Linked DNA regions of Macaca fascicularis. The protein of the gene in region 2 interacts with the protein of the main gene of each other region in a pairwise test. Links are inferred from orthologs where the notes say so. Each region holds a gene or a part of one and is shown on either strand. Other genes may lie near its edges.

Region 1 (3,651 bases), on a different chromosome or scaffold from region 2:
AGATAAACTATAGCTTTTGGCCAGAATGTCATTTAGAAATGCAACAAATGTTAATACAGGATTTCTTTTTGTTTTTCTTGGTGATGTGTAATGGAAATAAACACAATCCTAATAAAAGGAGAAGCATAAACACGGAAAGGATTTGGAAGAGTGTCTAGCATAAGAGTAAGCCCTTAACACAGGTAGTGATTATTACTATTTTATTATTACCCTACCACAGTTGCTATTCAGTTATTTATTCAACAAGTATTTATTGAGTACTATATGCCAGGCTCAATGATCTGCATTGGGGATTCAGTGATGGGGAAAACACAAACAGTTCTGCCTTCAAGGACTTTATAGTCAAGTGAGAGAGGAAGTAGAATCATCACATAAAAATTCTAATTACAAATCGTGGTAAGCAAATGAAGTGATAGAGGTATAAGTAGACCAAGATTTGCTCTGATTTTCAGAGTCAGTAAAAGCTTCTTTGAAGAAGTCCCAGTTAAGCTGAAATTTGAAAAATGGGAAGGAGGAATTAAGGAGACACAAAGGAAAGAGTAGCACGCTGAGCATGTTTACAGAGCCCACAGTAAAGAGAATGATGAGGGGGCCAATGTGGCTGAAACCCAAAGACTCAGTAACTATTTAAGAGCAAAAGCCACAATTACTTTTGCACCAATCTAATAGTAGTAGTAGTAGTAGGTTAGATCCCAAGCCATTGGGGGGATTTTTAAGGCTTTGCTAAGAATTTTAGACTTTCATCACATGATCAGTGGGGAGCCACGGAAAGCTTTAGGAAAAGTGTGACAACCTCAGATTTGCGTTTTCGAAAGATCACTGGCAGCTGGAGTGTAGTGGGGCAAGAGTGACAAACAGGGAGACTATGTACAGGGTTAAGGCAGTATCCCAGTGAAAGATGGTGGGAGCCTGCAACAGGATAATGGCAGGTAGAAACACAAAACAGTGGACGAATTTGGGATGTATAATATTTTGGAAGTAGGACCACAGGGCCTGGTGATTAACTGAAACTTTAGCACAATAATCACACAAAGTCGAAAAGCCTCCCCAGCAAGATCAGCTAATGGGTTATTGATAATTTGCAAAATCTTCACCATTCTCCCTTGGCAAAGATTCAAAAGCCCTGGTGATACAAAAGCCCTGGTGATACTCAGGGCCGACAGATTACTCATTCCGCACAGAGCGGGCCCACAAGTCGTCGCCCGCCTTGTGACGCAAGACTTTATTCCCTGGACGTCAGTGGCCTGGAAGCGCAGCGTTTCCTGGGCAACGCCATTGTCGCAGCTCCGGGCGGGGTAGGGATAACTAAAGACAACGGCCGGGGAGAGAACTCCACAAGAGAGGGAGAGTCAGAGAAAATGGGCAACAAGTGCGGCGGCTTCCGCCATGGCAGGTGATTCGAGGACTCAGCACGAGGCGAGAGTAGGGACCGGGAAGAGCCGGAAAACCCGCCTGTGATTGGCCGTCCAGGGGTATCGGTCGCTTGTGATTGGTGAGGCCCAAACAGACAGCTGCGTTTTGAACCGCGTAGGGTTCTGGGTAGCAAAGGCCTTGCAAGGGTCTTAACCGAAAGGGGGAGGGGGAAGGTCGCCAACAAACGGCTGAGCTCACAATCCAGGCCGGGGCGTCCCCCTCCCCCATGGAGAGAGCCAGACCGGAGCCTCAGCCTCAACAGCGCCCGTTGCGTCCCGCTCCGCCCCTGCTGCCGGTCGAGGGCACCACCTTTTGGGCAGCGGCCGTGGAGCCCCCTCCGTCGCCTCCCACACTAAGCGCGGCCGCCAGTGCGACCTTGGCCTCGTCGTGCGGGGAGGCCGTGGCGTCCGGCTTACCGCCCGCGGTGCGGCGGCTGCTGCAGGTGAAGCCAGAGCAGGTGTTGCTGCTACCACAGCCTCAGGCCCGGGACGAGGAAGCCGCTGCCTCGCCCGCGCAGGCGCGGCTGTTGCCGTTCAGGCCCGACCTTCGGCTCCTGCCGCCGCCGTCAGCGTCCGAGGGCGCCCCCTCCAGGCCGGAGTTGCACCCGGTGCAGCCCCGGGCGCTGCACTTCAAGGCCAAGAAGCAGGAGCTGGGGCCCGGCCTGGACCCGTCAGTGGGTCCTCGTGGGGGCGTCGAGACCGGTCCTAGAGCTTCCAGGGTGGTCAAGTTGGAAGGTCCGGGACCGGCCCTCGCCTACTTCCGAGGGAACGAGAAGGGCAAGCTGGAGGCCGAGGAGGTCATGAGAGACGCGATGAAAGGCGGGGATGGCAAAAGCCCGGCGGCCATCCGAGAAGGTGTGATCAAAACGGAGGAACCCGAGAGACTCCTCGAGGACTGCAGGCTCGACGCGGAGCCCGCGTCCAATGGCCTAGTTCATGGCAGCGCGGAGGTCATCTTGGCCCCAACGTCCGGTGCCTTTGGGCCGCACCAGCAAGACCTCAGGATCCCTTTGACTCTCCACACGGTCCCCCCTGGGGCCCGGATCCAGTTTCAGGGAGCTCCGCCTTCAGAGCTGATAAGATTGACCAAAGTCCCCCTTACACCAGTGCCTATTAAAATGCAGTCCCTACTGGAGCCTTCTGTAAAAATCGAAACCAAAGATGTCCCGCTCACCGTGTTGCCCTCAGATGCAGGTATTAGACAGCAGGGGAGAGGGGTTTTCAAAACTGCACCTGTGTTGCCCATAGCTGTTTTGTCAGCAGTTCCCAAGTCTAAACTACAAAAGTGAAGTCATGGAACCTATTATTTTCAGGGCAGAGTCTGCACAGGTTATCACTTCTGATCGACTTGTATATGTAGCAGTAAAATACACGAATGCCTTCAAGATTCTCAAGTATTTTTTAAAAAATCGATTTTAAGGCCCAGTATTTAGATAGGACTAATTTTTGTACACAAAAATAGAGGTATTTTCTAGACAGCACAGAGCCCTCAGTTTATATGCTACAAATAATCAAGATTAAAAATATTGTATTATAATAGCTCAGTACTTTTATATGTGTCAAGATATAGAGGAAATTATGGTGTTTAATGAAAAAAGGGATTATAGTTAAATAGGAAAGTTTATATCCATTATAGAGGCTATCTTTAAAAATGAACAGTAAACATTCTTCTAGCAGAAAACAGTACGTGATTCGATGTAATATTTTAGTGTTTATTCCTCTGAAAGGTAAGGACTTATAGAAATACTGAAAAGAATACGGTAGAATGAGCCATAAATATTGTTTTTAAAGAAATGACTAGTTGTAGCGGTAACAAGTACAAATAGATGTTTTTATTTCTATCCAGTATTTCCAGATATAAAGTTAGCAAATTCTTATTTTACGATTTAGTTCACACAGAACACTTTGCCAATGAACATCTTGGAAAGTCATATTAATCTTTGGTTCATATTTTCTTTATTTATTTTTTAAATTTTCTGTGTTGATTCTTCCTCTCCACTCCACTCTGTTGCTTTTCTCTTTAGTATTTTTTAGATTTTTGTTTTCTAAAGGAAAGAAAGGGAAAGCTTTCTTTATACTACTTATTTCATCCTTAGTGTTTTAAAGAAATTTTTAATATATCAGGCAATCCTAAAATATAAATTTATGGACAGTTATTTTTGATGAAATACATGAGAGATGTGAATTTGATAGCTTCCTTTGTTGAAATTTCAACTGGCTCTGTGACTTTCTTCTTTTA
Region 2 (4,168 bases):
ATGGCATGCCCCAGGAAGCCAGGAAGAAGGGTCTATGTCTCTCCACACTTTGTGTTATGAGAAAAATACCTCATGTGTAGTACTATTTTGTGGGCTTTTGTTTCATTTAGCTGAAGGCAATAATGACTAACACAAATACTGTGTTTACAACTGAGAATAAGTAATTGCAAATTTGAGGACTGTTGGGTAATCACCTTAACAAGATTCTGCACATCACTTTTCATGAGGGTTCTATCCATGTTAAAGCCATTACTTGGATCCAGGACAACAGCTTTCACCTGGAAAAAAGTAGGAACAAGCCCATTAAGTAGGAAAGAATCCATTAAGCAATTTTATTTCATATTATTAGTTTAATGTGTTTCCATTTTTTAAACAACTACCTCCTGATTACAGTGGGGTTGGTTTTTCAACTATTTTTCTTACTACTGAACTCATCAGTACCCTTGTTAGAGGCTGAAGAAAAGAAGCGACAAACATCAAATTTGAATGGGGTGCTAGAAAAGTTATATGGGGAAATAAGTTGAAAGCAATGGCTAGGTTTTCAGTTGGGAAACTATGGTATATTTTATTGTATTTTTATTGTGTATTGTTATCTTAACCAAAAGCAAGAACAGAGAAACCATAGCAATGAGTAATTTTTAACAACGGCAAACAAAAATACACACCAAAAAATTTCCACACAGGAGAACATTATTTATGTTTTCCAAACTCATCAAGGTCTTCTAAATCAGTCTCTATAAATCTACAACTCACATGCTCTATAAACGTTTTTAAAATGTTTTCACTAACTTGTCCGATGATCTCATTATGTTTAAGCTGAAAAACATCTATGAAAGCTTCACAGAATTTAAAGGGGAAAATGGACATCACATCTTAAAAAAGCTCTTAATAAAGTAGTAATCACAAAAAGATTTCTTCTTACCATAAAAGCAATCAGAGTTTCAGAAACAATCTCTCCATGGGCTGCACATTCTTGTCCTATTTCTCGTATAATACTCCTTATAACACTTTCGGCCTGAGTTGGAGGCATTCTGGCTAAATAAAACAATTTTTTTTAAAAACGTGGGTTTATGCAAATTTTTTTCTCTTCCGATTTCTCCAATATTGTATTTGTAAAGAGTCATAATATCATCTATTAGCTTATTAGTATTTTTATTAGTATCTAGGCCTCTCCTGTTTTTCATTATTTTTAAAAATGAAGGACTTTATTGAAGACAGACAATGATTGGGATTTCAAATAATTGAAACATCTGATAATTAACATTTTCAATTATTTAAATTATGGTCACTAAACATATATTCCTATCATGATATTCTTAATTTAAAAAAAAAAAAAAAAAAAAAAAAAAAGGCTAAGCAGGCTGGGCGCGATGGCTCACGCCTGTAATCCCAGCATTTTGGGAGGCCGAGGCAGGCGGATCAGCTGAGGTCGGGAGTTCGAGACCAGCCTGACCAACACGGAGAAACCCCGTCTCTACTAAAAATACAAAATTAGCCGGGCGTGGTGGCGGACGCCTGTAGTCCCAGCTACTCCGGAGGCTGAGGCAGGAGAATCGCTTGAACCCGGGAGGCGGGAGTTGCGGTGAGCCGAGATCACGCCATTGCACTCCAGCCTAGGCAACAAGAGCGAAACTGCGTCTCAAAAAAAAAAAAAAAAGGTAAGCAGTATTTGTAGGGGAAGAAGGTAAAATTAATGAGAAACCCAAGAGTACAGCTTGAAAGAGGAAATGCTTATTCAACCACATTCACTAAATAATCTTTCGTAATGGTACTAGAATCTTGGAAAACAATTCTTGCTCAGATCATTAAAATAATCTTTTCCGCACATCTAAAATGGAGTTCAGACTCTCGATAAAAAACACAAAAGCAAAAACCAAAACGTAAGAGTTATGCGTCATGGAAAAAAATGAACTCCTGGTTATTAATTCCATTTACTCTAAGGAAAAAGTGGCAGGTTTTGACCGAGTTTTCTGATTTTCCTGAATATTAGTAACTGAGCACAATGGAACTTGGCATGTAGAGTATAACAAAGGCAATATCAGGTAGATAAAGCCAACTCCTCAGCATTATTAGCTTTCCGATGGATGGGTACGGAAGCACGAGGCATTTTGTCCAGTGAAACCAGATTGCTTGGATTCCATCGTGACCCGACCACTGTCTAGCTGTGAGATCTTGGGCACTTGTTTCACTTCTTTCCAGAGGCGTGAGGACTAAATTAGTCCTATATGTTGTGTGGTTACAACAGTTTGCGGCATAAGGGAATCGCTTAAAACAGCTTTGAATCAGTACTCCAGGATCGCAAGCAGCGCATGCGCGAGTGTCAGTCTGTGGGAGAGTCTATCCCGCGCCGGGTCTGTGTGCGCATGCGCAACTGTGCCGGGTCGCTAGGGACGCGGCTCAGCACCTTCCCCGCATCCACCCACCAATTACTAAGTCTCCCGAGGTCAGGCTTCTAGGGTAGCCAGTGGAGTGGAACAGAGGCGGAAGGCCTCAGGCGCCCGCGCAGTGGCTAGAGGGCCGCCCTGCCGCCCTGGGCGCCTCCGGCGGGAATGGACCGCTGTTCCAGCTCAGCGGCGGCGCAGCCTAAAGGATCGAGACTGAGAGCTAAGTCTCGACGAGGCAGGACGCGGTCCTCCAGCCGCCCGGGCTCCGCCAGCTGCCCCACGCTCGCCGCCTGGCGGGACACACCTCCGGGTCAAGGGCGCGGAGCCCCGAGTAGGCTGACCTGGATCGGAATCGACAGCAGGAGCCGTGTCTGTCTGCTTCTGTCCTGGGGCCCTCACCGCGACCGTCGGGGCAGTTGGGCTCTCGCAGCAACCGCCGCGTAACCATGGAGATGGAAGGCTCCGGACCAGAGGGGGTGGGGCCAGGTGGGGGCGGGGCTGGGTCCCACTTTGAGGGTCTTTTCCGCGAAAGATGGGCTGGAAAAACTTTAAAAACAAAGAAATTCCAGGCAGAGACATCTTAACCTCCGTGGTTAAGACTGTGAAACACAAGTTCTCGTAAATAAGGACATTAACTCGCTAGCGTGGGAACGATGGGGCGGCTTTGAAAGCGGGGTCGGGGAGAGGGAGGAGCCAGTTGGAGAGGCTGGGAAAACGGAAGGGCTGTATCCTGGACAAATAGAGTTCTTGTAAAAGTATCTAGATTTAAAAAACAAAAGTAAAAAGTATCGAGGTTTTACTTCATGTCCCGTTGTTCAAAGGAAGTCTGCAACAGAACGCTCCAAAATGCCCGAAGAGAAAACTCATTCAAGAAGCACATGATAAGAACACATTAGTGTCCGAGTCAAAATAATGAAGTTTTATCCCTTAACGATAATGTCGTTAGGCCCACCTTCAGACCTGAAAGTGTGAAAAAGGATTAAATACGCATTAGAAGGAGAGCATCAAACAACAAGGTTTTATTTTTAAACAGTAACTTTTCTCAAACTGCAAACAAACATGCAGAATATGCTTTGCTTAAGGACATTCCCTGATTACTAGGAAATGAATAAACACAAAAACTCAAGAATACACATCATAATATAACACAATTTTATTTCCACCTTCTAGAAAATGTTCCCGGAATGTGGATGAAGCTTGTGTAAAAATAGATGTTCAGAGTAACATGATTTATAATACCACAACCTTGGAAATCTAAACACGATATTTAAGTAAAACGTCAGGCAGGTATTTAAAATTATGTTAATAAAAACCTTGTGTTTGTCTTATACTTTTTAAAAGCCAAATGCAAAATTTATATATAATATGACTTAAACTATATTGACGTACATATAATGCACAAAAAGTGTATAAGTCATTTTTTCAAAATCACAGCAAGGAATTAGATCTAAGGATGGAATTATAGGTAAAGTATTTTTATTTCTTTATACTTTTCTGTTTTTTCTAGATTTTTCCATAATGAGTATATATTGTCTTATGATCTATAAAACAAAATTTTAAAATACTAGGGAGATGAGACTGGCTATTTGTAGAGAATGAGCCCAATTTAGATATACAAATATACTGTAAGTATACAAGGTAAAGCAACCAAAGGAAGGTGAGATAGCAAAATTTTAACAGTGGTTGTATCTTTGTAATGGCTTATGGCTGATTTGTCTTCTTTGTACTTTAAGATAGCTACCAAAATGTCTTCCATGAGCATATATTATATATTAGAATATTAA
Region 3 (3,651 bases), on a different chromosome or scaffold from region 2:
TTGTATTATACTCCAAGATTCTTTCTTAGTCACTTTTTTTTTTAGAGACAGGGTTTCGCTATCTTGTCCAGGCTAGCCCTGAACTCCTGAGCTCAGGCAATTCTCCTGTCTCAGCCTCCGGTGTAGGCTGGGGCTCCAGGCACACGCCGCCACACCTGACTAGAACAATGCTCAGCCTATAGTAGGTGTAGGGAGAAAAGGTTTTCAAAATTACTTAAATTAATGAGCAAATAAATACATAGAAATGAGTAAATCATGAGTAGGTGAGTAAATGAATAGTGAATAAGCACACAAAAATGAAAGGGTAGAAGCATATTGGTAAAGGAGTCAGTGAATGAATGAACAGAACATTTCAAGACCTGTGTAAAGACAATAGACTACTAATATGAAACTGGTCCACGACAATAAACTACTAATGTGAAACTAGTCCACTTCAGCTTCCTTCTTAGGTCACCTTTCATCACAACCTCTCACCTCCACAGTGGGGTGTGAGCTTTCCTTCCCTGGGGAGGGGATGGGTACTTGTTCTCTTTAGCAAACTCACACACAAACAAAAAGCTTGCAAACAAAACAGAGAGAGACTTTGCTAAGTTCCTTTAAGATTCAGAAGCTAAGCCTGGTGGGGCAGATTGAAGAGTCTTTATATAGAGAAGAGCCAATCCCCTTTCCCCGTAGGACATAAGCCTTGTGCTGTGTTGAAAGGGAAAGAACAGCATAGGGTTCCTGGGGATGGAGAGGGGGGAAGGGACATAGCAACAGGACAAACCAAGTTGGAAATATTCCCTTCTCTGCTTTCTTACTTCAGGCTGTGCTGGGCCAGGCTGCGGCAGCAACTTGCCAAGGTCCTGGATGCACAAATTTGAGTTCCTGCCCTTCCCCATACAATGACATACAATTCTAGAGAGAAGCCAGTGAGGGGAACAGAAGACAGAAATCTTAGGCATGGAGAGTCTTTCCTGAAAAAATTGAGTTCTACCTAAAGGGACTATTTAAGTTATTGGATTGGGCTAAGGCTTAAACCAGAGTGGACATTTATTTAATTTTTCCCTCCTTCTACCCAGTGGGTGGAAGCTCTTAAGGGATATTAAGTTAAATTGACGAAATAAAGAAACTACATTTTCCCTGCATAAATAAGTTCTGTGAGCAGAATTTCCAGCCCTGCTACAGGTGCTTCACTGTCCCTTTGTGTCTGGCCACTGATTTTCTCCTTCAGCTACGAGCCCAAGAACAAGAATGTGTGCCAAACAACCTTGGTTGATACAAGCTAAGACTGCTTGGGTGTAGTGTAAGTAAGGTGGCCATATACACTCATCCCATGGTATCCTCAGAGGATTGGTTCCAAGTTCACCCTCCCTCCCCTGCCCTGTGGATACCAAAATCTGAGCATGCTCAAGTCCCCGATATAAAATGACATATAAAGATGCTCAACTCTCTGATATAAAATGGTATTTGAGGGCTGGGTGCAGTGGCTTACGCCTGTACTCCCAGCTCTTTGGGAAATGGAAACGGGTGGATCACACGAGTTGGGGAGTTCGAGACCAGCCTGGCCAACATGGTGAAACCCTGTCTCTACTAAAAATACAAAAATTAACCAGGTGTGGTGGCGCACATACCAGTAATCCCAGCTACTTGGGAGGCTGAGGTAGGAGAAACACTTGAACCTAGGAGGCAGAGATTGCAGTGAGCCAAGATCATGCCACTGCACTCCACCCTGGGCAATAAAGTGAGACTCTGTCTCTAATAAAATAAAATGGCATATGAGGATGCTCTAGTCCCTGATACACAATGACATATAAAGATGTTCAAGTCCCTGATATAAAAAGGGATATGAGGATGCTCAAGTCCCTGATATAAAATGGCATAGTATTTGCACGCAGCTTATGCACATGCTTCTGTATCCTTTAATCTCTAGATTACTAACAATGTCTAATAATGTACTATGTAAATAGTTATTATACTATATTATCTTTTATTCGCATTATTTTTTGTTGTTGTATTTTTTTTAATTGTTTCCTTCTTCAAGTATTTTCCATCCAAGCTGGTTGAATCTGTGGATGTGGAACCCGTGGATACAGAGGGCTGACTGTAATTTGTTGTCCAAACCAGGACACTTGAGAGTGAAAAGAGATGCCATTAATATTATTCTGAAACAGAAGACCTAAATTGGGACTGTCCCAAATAATCTAGGATATATGTCATCCAACTTCAAAGGAAGTCACAGGAAGGAGGTGGGAAACAAGGACTGTGACATCATCTTCTCCTGGGAGCCCAAGCACTTAACCAGCCACTACTAGCAAAGAGACTCTGCAATAAAGAGCACAGTGTGAACTGGAATTCAGACAGCGGAAAGTTAGGACTAAATATACATATATGTGTTTGTGGAGGTGTGCACATGCATGCACATGAACCAAGGGGTAGATCTGATGTGACCACAATGAAAAAAATAACCAACAAGATGACAAGTTGACAGTGCCCTTCCATAGCCCCAGCGAAGCCTCTTGCATGTAGGGAAGGGATTCAGAAGAGTCTAAAGACTCTTTGTGAAATAGACTCCCTGCCAGCCACGCCTCCTCTGTGGCCAAAACCCCTGTGGATGTCCACAGGAGAGCCAGGCCCGTTCACTGACCTGATACTGCAGGAAGGTAGAGTGATTCGTGAACACTGGTGGAGGTGGATAGTTCAGGTTGAGCCAGAGTGGCTGGTTCAGGGTTGCTGAGGTCAAGGCTGTAGCAAAGTGTGGAGTGAAAACATTCCCTGTGTACTTCGGGTTGTTCTTGTCAGCAACCGTCACAGGTGCGTTAACTGCAAGTCACAGGAGAGGTAAAGCGGGTCAGTAACGGAGGCAGGGAAAGGCCAGGACACCTTCAGCATCACAACTTCCCTGGGGATTCACAGTCTCACAGGTCAGGTCCTTTAAGCTCCAAGAGGGTTCTTCAAAGTCCTAGTACATTTCCAACTATAGGTAAACATCATTAGTTCACACCTTGCCAATTTGGAAGGTATGAAAATCCCAGAAGGTCTGGCTTGGAGCTTTTCTTTCCATCATTCACTAGTAAAGAAGGCAGTTTAGCAAGGGAATACAATAAGCCAGATTGCTAGGGCTATATTTCACCTACTTACAAAATGAAATTCTTTCAACTGCTTTGGAAAAATCCAACTTTATGTGAACCACTGCTATGCCATTGGAATTCATCCTTATCAAATGATTAAAGCAGCCCTCCCTAAGGACATATATTTGGCAACACTAAGAAACTTTCACAGGTTGTTGTATCTATATGGGAATTAAAAAATATATATTTCAAAACATTAAATAATTCAGCATGCAGTGAATCAAAATTGGTTTAAATGAATGAAGTTAGGCTGAGTTGTTTCAAGATAAGAATCCTGGCTTCTTCCTTTCTACAAGATGTTGTAGGGGGTTATAAAACCAGAAATGGGTCCTCAGTTTCCCCCTTATTGGCATCCTTTTGGGAAAAGAGGTTTGACGAGAACACTTATAGGAAGAGAAAGCAGGAACATAATCTCAATGCAGAAGTAATCTACAGCAAGGATTTTTTGTTTTGGCTTGGGCAATTTGAGAGGATATAATACATGCTGGGTCAGGGCTATATTCAGAAGTGACCATTAATAATGCTGATGTGACCCTCGAAA

Evidence for each region.
Region 1: the proteins of CFAP206 (region 2) and SOX30 interact in binary tests that used the Homo sapiens proteins (3 or more experiments, as listed by UniProt). The two-hybrid records come from large-scale screens. The link is inferred for Macaca fascicularis from reciprocal best matches to the Homo sapiens genes CFAP206 and SOX30.
Region 3: the proteins of CFAP206 (region 2) and C1H1orf94 interact in binary tests that used the Homo sapiens proteins (3 or more experiments, as listed by UniProt). The two-hybrid records come from large-scale screens. The link is inferred for Macaca fascicularis from reciprocal best matches to the Homo sapiens genes CFAP206 and C1orf94.

What each region holds. Positions count from the first base shown.
Region 1 is NC_088380.1:164,438,187-164,441,837, reverse strand, and holds part of SOX30 (transcription factor SOX-30), read left to right. Parts: 5' UTR 1-1,639; coding exon 1,640-2,606; intron 2,607-3,651. UniProt on the Homo sapiens protein: Acts both as a transcriptional activator and a repressor. Binds to the DNA sequence 5'-ACAAT-3' and shows a preference for guanine residues surrounding this core motif. Binds to its own promoter and activates its own transcription.
Region 2 is NC_088378.1:87,903,263-87,907,430, forward strand, and holds the start of CFAP206 (cilia- and flagella-associated protein 206), read right to left. Parts: upstream 2,833-4,168; coding exon 2,726-2,832; intron 1,036-2,725; exon of another isoform or gene 1,032-1,035; coding exon 923-1,031; intron 279-922; coding exon 195-278; intron 1-194. UniProt on the Homo sapiens protein: Essential for sperm motility and is involved in the regulation of the beating frequency of motile cilia on the epithelial cells of the respiratory tract. Required for the establishment of radial spokes in sperm flagella.
Region 3 is NC_088375.1:200,780,568-200,784,218, forward strand, and holds part of C1H1orf94 (uncharacterized protein C1orf94 homolog), read right to left. Parts: intron 2,803-3,651; coding exon 2,627-2,802; intron 1-2,626.